Neurospora crassa OR74A: one gene and its partners. The protein of the gene in region 1 purifies or fractionates together with the protein of each later gene. This does not show direct contact. Links are inferred from orthologs where the notes say so. Each region holds a gene or a part of one and is shown on either strand. Other genes may lie near its edges.

Evidence for each region. Proteins that work in one complex are often made in the same cells at the same time.
Region 2: the proteins of NCU01503 (region 1) and NCU07956 purify together in Saccharomyces cerevisiae (affinity purification with mass spectrometry; 5 studies listed by BioGRID, with this or other methods). This does not show direct contact. The link is inferred for Neurospora crassa OR74A from reciprocal best matches to the Saccharomyces cerevisiae genes TSR1 and PNO1.
Region 3: the proteins of NCU01503 (region 1) and NCU08968 purify together in Saccharomyces cerevisiae (affinity purification with mass spectrometry; 8 studies listed by BioGRID, with this or other methods). This does not show direct contact. The link is inferred for Neurospora crassa OR74A from reciprocal best matches to the Saccharomyces cerevisiae genes TSR1 and DIM1.

What each region holds. Positions count from the first base shown.
Region 1 is NC_026502.1:3,251,150-3,255,144, reverse strand, and holds the start of NCU01503 (pre-rRNA processing protein Tsr1), read left to right. Parts: upstream 1-1,180; 5' UTR 1,181-1,374; coding exon 1,375-1,483; intron 1,484-1,650; coding exon 1,651-3,995. Other genes in the region: NCU01502 (small nucleolar ribonucleoprotein complex subunit), read right to left, coding at 1-490, 556-864.
Region 2 is NC_026504.1:1,226,245-1,229,983, reverse strand, and holds NCU07956 (pre-rRNA-processing protein PNO1), read left to right. Parts: upstream 1-1,419; 5' UTR 1,420-1,670; coding exon 1,671-1,966; intron 1,967-2,034; coding exon 2,035-2,342; intron 2,343-2,405; coding exon 2,406-2,575; 3' UTR 2,576-3,179; downstream 3,180-3,739. Other genes in the region: pod-1 (mitochondrion biogenesis protein), read right to left, coding at 1-991; NCU07957 (hypothetical protein), read right to left, coding at 3,676-3,739. UniProt on the Saccharomyces cerevisiae protein: Required for small ribosomal subunit (SSU) synthesis. Has a role in the processing of early nucleolar and late cytoplasmic pre-RNA species. Recruits DIM1 to nucleolar pre-RNAs.
Region 3 is NC_026505.1:5,864,717-5,868,352, forward strand, and holds NCU08968 (dimethyladenosine transferase), read left to right. Parts: upstream 1-1,305; 5' UTR 1,306-1,553; coding exon 1,554-2,342; intron 2,343-2,400; coding exon 2,401-2,776; intron 2,777-2,838; coding exon 2,839-2,870; 3' UTR 2,871-3,076; downstream 3,077-3,636. Other genes in the region: NCU08967 (arrestin domain-containing protein), read right to left, coding at 1-740; NCU08969 (hypothetical protein), read right to left, coding at 3,430-3,636. UniProt on the Saccharomyces cerevisiae protein: Specifically dimethylates two adjacent adenosines in the loop of a conserved hairpin near the 3'-end of 18S rRNA in the 40S particle.

The DNA.
Region 1 (3,995 bases):
TCCAGGGGTTTTGTGTCATGGAAACGGGTGTGCCCAGCTTCGTTGCGATTTCGGTGACGATCTGACCGGTCGATGTGTCCTGGTACTTGAGCTGGCCGTTTGTGCCCAGGGTGGCCAGCAGGAAGTGGTAGGGGAGGAATTCGAGGTGGGAGACTTCGACGTGTTTCCTTAGGCAGTGGAGCTCGACGCCCTGCGAGTCGTAGATGTAGGTGTACTTCTTCTGAGCGACGGCAAAGTATTGGTTGTTGTGTAGCCACTTGACGTCCCTGATGGTCTCTCCCAACTGCAACTCACAGCCCAGCTTGCCGTCTCTCCAGTCCATCGTAGCGACATGGCCCTTTCGTCCTGCCAGAATCAGATCCCGGCCATTCCTCGAAAAATCGCAAATGTAAGGGCCTAGTTGGTCGAGCTTCAAGTCGAACTTTTTCTGGGCGACCTCAATGTTGACTTCGCTGACGATGTCCTCCTGGCGAACCTTGTATGTGCGTTCCTATCGTGACCAGCGCGGTTAGTATCGCGCAAGAGGCTATAAACTCCCAAGCCATGGCTACTCACAAGCTCATGTTCAGCCTCGAGGAAACCGCCGGCATTCTCGAGAAGGATTTCGGCCTCCTTGGCCTTTAGCGTGGCCGTCTGGTACTTTTCTTCGAGGTTGGTAAGGTTGCGCTTGAGCTTTTTGTCCTTGACGTTCTTGACATCGATCTTGCGACCACGGCCGTACGACTTCTCTGCTGCCTTGACTTTGCGGATCTTGTTGGCCTCGGCCTTTGATCGGAACTCGCTTCGGACGTTGTTGATGGCAACGGCGCCGCTGGGCTGCTCTGCCCTCGAGAGGGAGATTTCGGCCCTGTCTGTAGTCTCCATGGTGCCAATGGGTCGACGCGACACAATGGGAATGGGTAATATGTGTGGTGGACTAGGACAGTTGGATCGGCGACGGGATATGGATGGGGGCTGAATATGGAATTGGTCTGGCGGTTTCTCGGTGTGCCCGTGTCTGTCCCTCGCTTTGGCACTTTGAATGTTTCCTTTCCTCGACAACTTTTTTGGGGCCGGACCCACTAAAAAGTTGGATGGGGCAGCTGTTCCGCAGCGATCATTGGCTCCACTGCGTACAAGAGTCCGATAAGATAAGTAGCGAGACGGCCGCCCATGTTCGCACAACTCAAAAAAATGCAACGAGTGCCCCGCCATTGACATTGTCCCCATCACTTTATTCGATACTCGATAGACGGATTGTGACCAGAGAGGTTCTCGAAATCTCTTTTCAGTCCCAACCCCCCAGCCTCTTCTCTTCATCGCCTCCCCAGGTCCAACATCCTGGCGTCAAACTCGCTCCCTTTTCGGTTCAAAGCAGGCGGCGATTCCAGCAATATGCCCGGCGCCGTGAGCGGCCACTCGCATCGGCCGACGACCAAGGCGTCGAACAAGCCCTTCAAGTCACGCCATTCTACCAAGGGTGCTCTCCGGAATGCTGCCAAAGGTACGGATTGCATATAACAGCCGTGCCTCATGCCAAGGTTGTTGCCTTGGACTATGCTCTACTTCACCCAACTTTGGCGCACCAAGCCCAAGCAGACATGAATATACAGCTGCATATAAAGAGGTCGACAACGTCCACACAGCGCTAATACTTTCAACATTCTATAGGCAAGGTAGCCGAGGAGAGAGGTGTGCGCAAGACCCCCCATCAACAAGTCATGTCCAAGTTCGACCGTCGCAACCGTAACAAGCAGCTTCAGCTGCAAAAACACAAGGAACATCTCCAGGAGACCTCCATTTTCGCCGGCAAGGATGGTGCCCCCAGAAACGTGGCCGTTATCCCCCTGTGCAGCGACGGTGACGCTACCGAAGCCATCAAGAGCCTGAACGCCAGCATTGATATCGAGACCGAGGTGCCCGAGGGCGCATTCCGCGTTCCCGTCGACAGATTCAAGCAGAAGCTTCAATACTTCCCCCTCAAGCGCGACCTTACCGCCTGCCTGGACGCTGCCAGAGTCGCCGACTATGTCGTTCTCGTTTTGTCCGCGCAGGAAGAGGTCGATGAACTTGGCGAGCTGATCTTGCGCAGCGTTGAAAGCCAGGGTCTCTCTACCCTCTTCACCGTCGTCCAGGGCCTCAACAAGATCGAGCCCCAAAAGCAGAGACTCTCCGTTCTTTCGTCTCTCAAGTCCTACATCACCCACTTCCACCCCGAACAGGATAAGGTCTTCAGCCTCGACAACAGACAGGAATGCTCCAACCTCATGCGCTCGCTATGCAGCACTACACCCAAGGGCATTCGCTGGAGAGACGAGAGGAGTTGGATGCTTGTGGAGGAGGTCAAGTTTGGTGAGTCTACCGTGCTTACCGGTGTCGTCAGGGGCAAGGGCTTGAAGGCCGACCGCCTGGTGCAGGTTGGCGATTGGGGCACCTTCCAGGTTGAGAAGATCACAGCAGCTCCCTTGGCCAGGAGGAAACGTGGAGAGGAGGGCATGAACGTGGAGGAGGGCGCTGAGGAGATTCTCGACCAGCCTACCGACGACCGCGATGATCTTGTCGACCTTGCGCCCGAGGAGGTTCGCATGGAGGACGACGACGATGACGAAATGAACGACGGAATGACCACAATGACGACTTCAAAGAAGGGTGTTTTGTTGGACGACCACCATTACTTCTCAGAGGAGGAGCCCGAGGCTTATACTGCGCCAAAGAAGCTTCCCAAGGGTACATCAAAGTACCAGGCTGCGTGGTACCTAGACGACGATGTGTCTGATTCCGGCTCAGATATGGAAGAGGACGATGAGATGGAGGACGACGACGAGGAAGAGGCCGCCAGGCCAGAGGATGGCGAGGAGGGTCTTGCTGGTTACGCGCCAACAGAAGCCGGACAAACCGAGTACCCACAAACTGAGGGCGGCTTCATCCAACCTGATGCTGATGAGGATGCCAAGCAACTAGAGGCTTTCCGCAAGCAAAAGCGGGATGAGGCTCAGGATGACCTCGAGTTCCCTGATGAGATCGAGCTCCACCCCCACGTTCTTGCTCGTGAACGTCTAGCCAAGTACAGAGGTCTCAAGAGCTTGAGGTCAAGCCCTTGGCAGGAGGATGAGGACCGCGCATACCAGCCAGAGGATTGGGAGCGCTTGTTGAAGATCCAAGACTACCAGGCCTCCAAGATCAGGGCGTCTAGGGAAGCCCTTGTCGGAGGTGTTGCTCCTGGTACCCGCGTCCACGTTTACCTTAAGGACGTGCCCGCGACCATCCAGCAATCCTACAACCCCAGCCAGCCCGTCACTCTATTCTCCCTGCTCAGGCACGAGTACAAGAAGACTGCTGTCAACTTCCTCATCAACCTGAGCGCGGACGCTGCCGCACCCATCAAGGCCAAGGAGGAGTTGATCATACAGTGCGGTCCCCGCCGCTTCGTCATCAACCCGCTCTTCTCCCAGGGCGGCAACACTCCCAACGACGTCCACAAGTACTGCCGGTACCTGCACCCCGGCCAGTCGGCTGTCGCTACTTTTACGGGTCCTGTCACATGGGGTGCTGTACCCACCCTCTTCTTCAAGAGGCAAGTGCCGGGCTCCGTGCTTGACGAAGATGGCGAGCCCGTCTCCAATCTGCCGCTCAGCCTCGTCGCCACCGGCACTGCCCTGCCCCCCTCGACATCGCGCGTCGTCGCCAAGCGTGCCATCCTTACCGGTCACCCGTACCACATCCACAAGAAGATTGTCACCATCCGCTACATGTTCTTCAACAGGGAGGACGTTGAGTGGTTCAAGGCTCTGCCTCTGTGGACCAGGCGTGGCAGGAGCGGTTTCATCAAGGAGGCGCTGGGTACCCACGGTTACTTCAAGGCTACCTTTGACGGGCGCATCAACCCTCAGGACTCTGTGGGCGTCAGCTTGTACAAGAGGGTGTGGCCCCGGAGTGCCAAGCAGCTGGGTGCGCCTCTGCTGGATGCCGCGGCGCTCCAGCAGGAGGTTGATGAGGACGCTATGGATGCGGAATAG
Region 2 (3,739 bases), on another chromosome or scaffold:
CAGTAAGGCCAGCAGATTGGGTCAGGTAGTCTCCGATCCACTTGGCCAGCGTTTCCTGGGCAAACACCGTGTTGATAAAGAGGATGATGAGGGAGAAGAAGGTAGTTGTGCCAACAAGAATCCAGACCAAATGACCGAATAAGAAGAAGGACACAAACGCTCCCCATTCGTCGGCGTTCCAGGGGCGCATGCTCCTGATGGAGAACCACTTGAATCGGACCTTGAGACGCGACCAGAACCCGCTTGCTGCCGCCAGAAGCTCTTCTTTTGTGGGCCGATGAGGCAAATGGGGGAGGTGAGGAAGGTGAAGGTATTTAGACATGGAATCTGCTATTGATTCATGTGCGGGAGTCGGCTGGGAACCAGAACCGGAAGCCGTCTCGGTATTCGGTGGCTGCTGTGGTTGCTCGGACTTTTGCTGAGGAGAAATTGTAGAAGACTTGGCTTCGGCCTTGGTCTCGTCATGATCACCCTTGGTCTCTTTGCCCGAACTTTGGAATCGCTTTCCTGTCTTGCATAACGTTGTGGTCGTGGTGTTCTGTCGTATCCTTCGCAAGAGTAAAGCCTGCCGAGCCAAGTGGCCCATTTTTGCCTTTTGCGCGGCATTGCCGGATAGTGCGGATGCCTCTACCGTGCTCGTTGGAGAGGGGCTGGTGGTGAGCCCAAGGAGGAGTAGGCCTCCGGAGGTACAGCTTCGTAGGACATTATGGGATGGTTGTGACTGTTGATAGTGTAGTCTTTGCGATTTTGTTGCTGGGAAGAAAAAGCGACTTGCGGAAGAGGTAAATTGTCGCGTGCTCTGCTGCTGTCCGTATCGCTGATGGGACCCCAGCGATGTCGAGGGGCCAAGTCCAAGACTTTGACGACTCAGTAATGGCTGACAAGTTGGAAGCAGTATCGCGGCTGTGAAGAGATTCGAGGTGGTGTGAAGATCTCGTACTGAAGACCATAGCTGGCGGCCCAGCTGGGTCGTCGTAGCGCTAGTAGACATTGTTGAAATTCATACTGTCGACCGAGTAAGGGACCGACCTGTTCCTTTTTTTTTTCCTATGTTTTCAGCGACGATGGTGATGACGACAGCTCGGTGCCGTATCCATGGTCGGTCCTCGAGGCTGAAAATCAGATGTTGTTGCTTGGTGGTGGGCCGAGTCTAGAATGACATATGATGGTGCTCCTGCTCTGACCAAGAACCTGGAGTTTGAAAAAGCTGCCGGTCCAGGTCCCCGTCAAAAGTGCGTCAATGACGCTAACCTTGGGATTACAGGGATTCCTCGGTAACTGTTAGTGCATGGGCGTTGCGATTGGCAAGGGTCCTAGCCCCCATGCAGCCAATCGATAAGCTTCACTTGGGTACTCTTTTGTGGATCCACTGCTTTTTGTCAAGAATTTCCCCTCTGCGCTATCAAAATCGATAAACATCAAAATTCTAGAGACCGACGGCGCAAAAAGGCAGAACTTCGACTCCCAGATCTCCGCAATTCACGACTGTAACCCAGCATCCCGACACTTCTTTCGTCGCCCGTCACCAGTCTCTCCTCCACCCGATTTTCGAAAAATCTGCCATTACTCTTGGCCGGCGATTTCCCAAAATACTACCGACTTTAATCAACAAACAACCCGACTCGGCCCCTTGACCATCACCCACCGATAAACAACACATCTCGCCCAACATGCCTGCGCCAACAGCACTTCGTCAGCCTGTCAAGGCTCCCGCCGCCCAGATTCCTATCCAGACCGAGCAAGAGGACGAGCTCATTCTCGATGTCAACGAGGCCGTCAACCTCACCGATCCCAGCGCCGCCGCTCCCCCTTCCAATGACCAAGATGTGCAGATGGCTGTAGACGAGGAGGGCCGCCCCCGTTTCGCCCCCGGCCAGGACGTCCAGATCATTCGCCGCGCAGAGACCAGGAAAATTGGTATCCCGCCAAACCGCATGTCGGCCCTCAAGGCCAATTGGACCAAGATGTGAGACGGAAAACTACGGAAACATGTGTGAATGTTTGGGCAAGGAAGACTGACTGTTTTCCAATCAGCTACCCCCCACTTGTAGAGCACTGCAAGCTCCAGGTCCGCATGAACATCAAGGAGAAGCGCGTCGAGCTCCGCTCCAGCAGACACACCACCACCCCCGAATCCCTGCAGATGGGTGCCGATTTCGTCTCCGCCTTCGCCATGGGCTTCGACATTGACGACGCCATTGCCCTGCTCCGTCTCGATTCGCTCTATATCCAGTCCTTCGATGTCAAGGATGTCCGTCAGACCCTTGGCCCCGATGCTCTGGGACGTGCGATTGGTCGTATTGCAGGCAAGGACGGAAAGACCAAGTTTGCGATTGAGAATGGTACGTTCACCATTATGGGAGAATGGAAGAGATGACGCAGAAGTACTGACAAGATGTGAAAAGCCACAAAAACCAGAATCGTCCTCGCCGGCTCCCGCGTTCATATCCTCGGTGCCTTCGAGAACATTGGCATGGCCCGCGAGTCCGTCGTCTCCCTCATTCTCGGACACCAGCCCGGCAAGGTGTACAACAACCTCCGGATCATTGCCTCGAGGCAAAAGGAGAGATTCTAAGCTCTTTCTTTCACGAAAAACGGCAACAATGTGTTACACTTCTATTGCCGCTATTCTCACCTAATGAATGGTTCACGCACGGGGCTGCATGGTTCAGTCAACAAAAAATCGACGGTTTTCATCACATAAGGGGCGAAGGTGGCATTTCGGGAGCTACGCTTAAAAAGGGTTCTGGCGTTTAGGAGTTCATTATGCTTTTGCTTTGAGTTTGGAGAGTTTGAAATGGGCGATTCAGTCAGTCATGCTGGGGATATCTACGAAGGTGTGTAGAAGCGGGAGGAAGAGGACGGGATATTGGGGAGCTACCGCCTTGCGAATCTTTCAATGTGTGGTTATGATCTATACCCGGAGGACGAGAAGAGAAGACAATGAACAGAGATATTCACCAAAAGGCGGTTTAGTGCATATTGGCTGGCAAGGTCGATTATTGTGCAGAGAAAGTGATGTGGGAAACTGATCCAGTGCGCTCATTTGGTTGAGGTTCAATTCCATGGTGACGGCAAATCAAGCAAAATGTAAGGAGCTGATGTGATGGGCACCAATGTAGCCAGGTGAGCCACGATAGATTGGTTTCTTCAGGTCATACAAGTAGTAGTTATTTCCATCCATTCTCTTATCTCGCTTGTTCCGCATAAGTAAAGGTCTTGTTTGTTTTACAGTCCAGATGGCGAACCGTATATCGAAATAGCAGATAGAGCATAGTCAAACCCCTCGATATTCACCTACGATAGGTGGGATGAGACCATCTTAACCCGAGGAGGCTCTTTTTGTGCTCTGACTGACCAACTCCCATGACTCATCAAGCTTGTTGAAATAAAGTGAAGGCAAGACGTAGCAAAAAGTGATATACGTATGGGTATCTTCTGAAGAGCTAGGGTACCACCTCCGCACCATGAACCGTGTCCTGGAAGGACTTGCAACACTCCAAACTCCGTAATCATCTGTCACAACTTTAAGCAAAAACAATAATCCACTAGTCACCGCCGATTTCGTAGGCCTGACGAATAAGCCCGGTAAACTCCAACCCCATAACAGCTAAAGAAATGTGCGAATAACGTCTCCCAAAACCCAGTCTCCATGTTTATTCTCCAGGTCATACACTACTTGATGTAGACCTCAAACTGATTGGTCTCGTCCCTCTCAATGTCCATCGCCCCAACCAGC
Region 3 (3,636 bases), on another chromosome or scaffold:
AAGAAAGAAGCTCGTTTCTTGGAAGACGCGTTTGTCCTTGGGCTTCGTGGACGGAATGCAAAGGGTCGTCTGGCATAGGCTTCGTGGTTCGTCTTGGGCGGCCTTGGAGGCTCAATAGGAAGGAATTTCAAGCCGGTCTGCATCCTCCAGTTCTCCTTGAAAAAGCCCGGTCTCTGAATGGTAACCTTGACATAGTATCGAATCTCGCACTGGCCTGGGAATCCGGTGAAACTGGGTGGGAGCGTCTTTGTGACATGGGAGTACATCAGCTGCTTGGTGCCGTCCATAACACGAATGCCACCGAGACCGAACAAGCCAGAACCCGACGCGATTCCACCGGCACCAGAAAGGCCTCCTAGTTTGGCCATGGCGACAGGATCACCACAAGCATTGTTGAAGGGAAACTTGAACTGGAAGGGGAATCTGTGTTGACCAGCGGCTAGGACATAGGGCTGTGGCAAGGCGTTGGTCTTCTCGTCGGGAAAGGCCTGGGTGACTTTGTATAGGATCTTGTGGTTCTCGTAGATAACATCGCCGGTTGGAGTGCGCTCCCTCTGAGCAATGCCGGTCCCTGAGCCATCGGCGGGTACTCCCAAGGCCGACTTGGCTTCACCCTCGAGTTTGACGATGATGCCTCCGATCTGTTCGGGACGACTGAGAGTGAGGACGACCTGGCCGCGGATAATATCCAGGTTTGTGTAGAACTCGGGAGGGTTTTCGAGGGCGATCCGTATCGACATGGTTGCGATTGATTATCGTCAACTTCAACAGAGAAATGAGGCTATCACCACATGAACCAAAACAACAAGGAATAACCAGTGGGTCACACGCCCAGGTATGAGCCAAGGAGAAGATGATGGAAAAGAATCTGTTATTTTTTTTTTACAATCCGATTTCCTCGAACCTTGGGAGGGGGTTGGTATTATAGGTAGGTAGATGAAAATTCAAAGCCACTGCCTGTCTGCTTCGATGTGATCAGCTTCACACGGCAGTTAGGTGATGACGGGGAAGACCCTCACTGAAAGACCGGAGGATTTGCCGTTTAAGTGCTGGGTAGCAATTTGAACCCGCCGCACATGTTTAGGGCGGCCTCCGCTGTTACGTCAGACGGGGAATCATCGGTCGGAAGTGGCCGAGGTGCCTGGATTCCACTGATGTTTCCAGTGGGCTGGGCCGCCGCCGCCGCCCGCATGGTGTCTCAATGGGGAAAGCGGTCAGCCTTTTGCTTATCTTATCAGCCACATGTCTGGCGGGGCATCTTTTTTTCTGCCGCCTGATCCACTCAAAAAAAAGATGTCGGCCGGGGTCCGGCGCAGGCACAAGGAAGCTCTCTTCAGCCTGCGGTACCTCTGTCCGTCTCACAATAGAGGTACATACTACAGCCATTGCGCGACTGCCGTGACTTGAGAACGAACCGCCCAAGTCTCGACCCGGACAGAGATCGACCGAAACGACGAAACCCTCCATCGATCCCCCAACCTTCTCGTCCGACCTCGATTCCGAGTCGTCTTCCTCCACACACCTACCCACGACAGCATTGACTAGACTACACCATGCCCAAGGCAGCGAAGGCGTCCAAGAAGTCGGGGGGCGGCGGCAACCCCTACGATCGCAAGGGGGGCGGCGGCGGCGGCAAGGCTACCAACACCAACATCTTCAAGTTCGACAAGGACTTTGGCCAGCATATCCTCAAGAACCCCGGTATCTCGGATGCCATTGTCGACAAGGCCTTCCTCAAGCCCACCGATGTCGTCGTCGAAGTCGGTCCCGGTACCGGCAACATCACGGTCCGCGCCCTTGAAAAGGCAAAGAAGGTCATCGCCATCGAGCTCGATCCTCGTATGGGTGCCGAAGTTACCAAGCGTGTCCAGGGCACTCCGCTAGCCAAGAAGCTCGAGGTCATTCTCGGCGATGTCATCAAGATGCCCGAAATGCCTCCATGCGACGCTCTCATCTCCAACACTCCCTACCAAATTTCCAGTCCGCTCATCTTCAAGATGTTGGCCATGCCCAACCCGCCCCGCGTCGCCGTACTCATGTTTCAAAGAGAATTCGCAAAGAGACTGGTGGCTCGGCCGGGTGATGCTCTCTACTCGAGATTGAGTGTCAATGTCAACTTCTGGGCCACATGCAAGCACATCATGAAGGTCGGCAAGCAGAACTTCAAGCCTCCTCCCAAGGTCGAGTCCGACGTCGTCAGAATTGAGCCCCTTGTTGGTTCGGCGCGCCCCAACATTGCTTTTGAGGAGTTCGACGGTCTCCTTCGCATTGCTTTCAACCGCAAGAACAAGACCCTTTATGCCGGCTTCAACCAGAAGGAGGTCCTCAACATGTGCGAGAGGGTACGTTTCTTCCCATGTGTTCACAAGCTCCAACTCTTACTGACCACTTCGTTTCCAGAACTACAAAGTCTACTGCACCCTCAACAACATCCCCATCGACGAGTCCCTCGCTTCCGCGGCTGACCTTGCTGCCGCCGGCGCCACCAACGATGCCATGGACGTCGAGATGGACGACGACAACGAAGACAATGATAACGAAGAGAACAACGACGATGACGAGGCTATGGAGGAGGATGAGGACGAGGACATGCCCGTCTTCTTCAAGGAGCAAAACGACGCCAACGCTAAGGACGCCAAGACACCTAGCAAGAACCCCAAGTCCAAGGTGGCCTTGATAGTCAAGGCCAAGTTGAACAAGGTGCTTACGAGCACCGGTTTGGCGGACAAGAGAGCTAGGCAGTGCGATCAGAACGATTTCCTCAAGCTGTTGCTTGGTACGTTTTCTTCCCCCTCGGCTTCCCTTTCTGATGGACAACCTCGCTAACACTCCTGACAGCGTTCCACGAGGAGGGTATTCACTTCTCTTAGACGTGTGTTATTATTGCGAACACGCACAGAAATCATCGGCGTACGGGGCGTTTTTTGGGGATTGGGAAAATGTCGTTTTTTAAAAATTCTTTGTTTTGTTCCATTTGTCGTGGAAATACCATTGATCTGGATGCTAGGATTTGCACAATCATAAAAGCCAATGAATCTGGCTGCCACTTTTGCCAGGAATCGAACCATAATCATCTTTCGTTTGGATTGCTTGAGCGTCGGATGTTGTTCTCTTCGTCACGTTGCTCAAACATTGCTGAGAAGCAATTGCTGACAATACCAGACCTACCGCATCGAGATGTCTTTTATAATAAAACCATGGATCGGGGGAGTGGTCAGTGACCTACGGGACCGAGTCCTTGGAGTAACAGGGAAACGGAAAGCACAGGAGAGCAAGCTGTTTTCCTACCCTACCTCTCTCAGTAACAGGCGCCGAGTGCGTCGTTACCAAGCCAGAAAGCGTGGAAGCCTTCTTTCGATAGCTTGTCAGTTGTTCAAAACCATTGAAGAGGGGCAAAGAAAAAGAAGAAGAACAAATGGTGACCGCAACTTATATTTTGGAAAGCACGACACTGGATACTAAAATGTGTCGCCGTTCTTGTCCTTCTCTCCTCCACTCCTCCATTCTTCGACCTCCATCCTCCGCACCCAACACCCATAGCCCAAAAACCACGAAGGTCTCAGCACCCATGCCATCGCCGGCGTCCCCATCGGGAGAAACACTCCAAACAGCCATCCCCACGGCTCCCGTAAACAG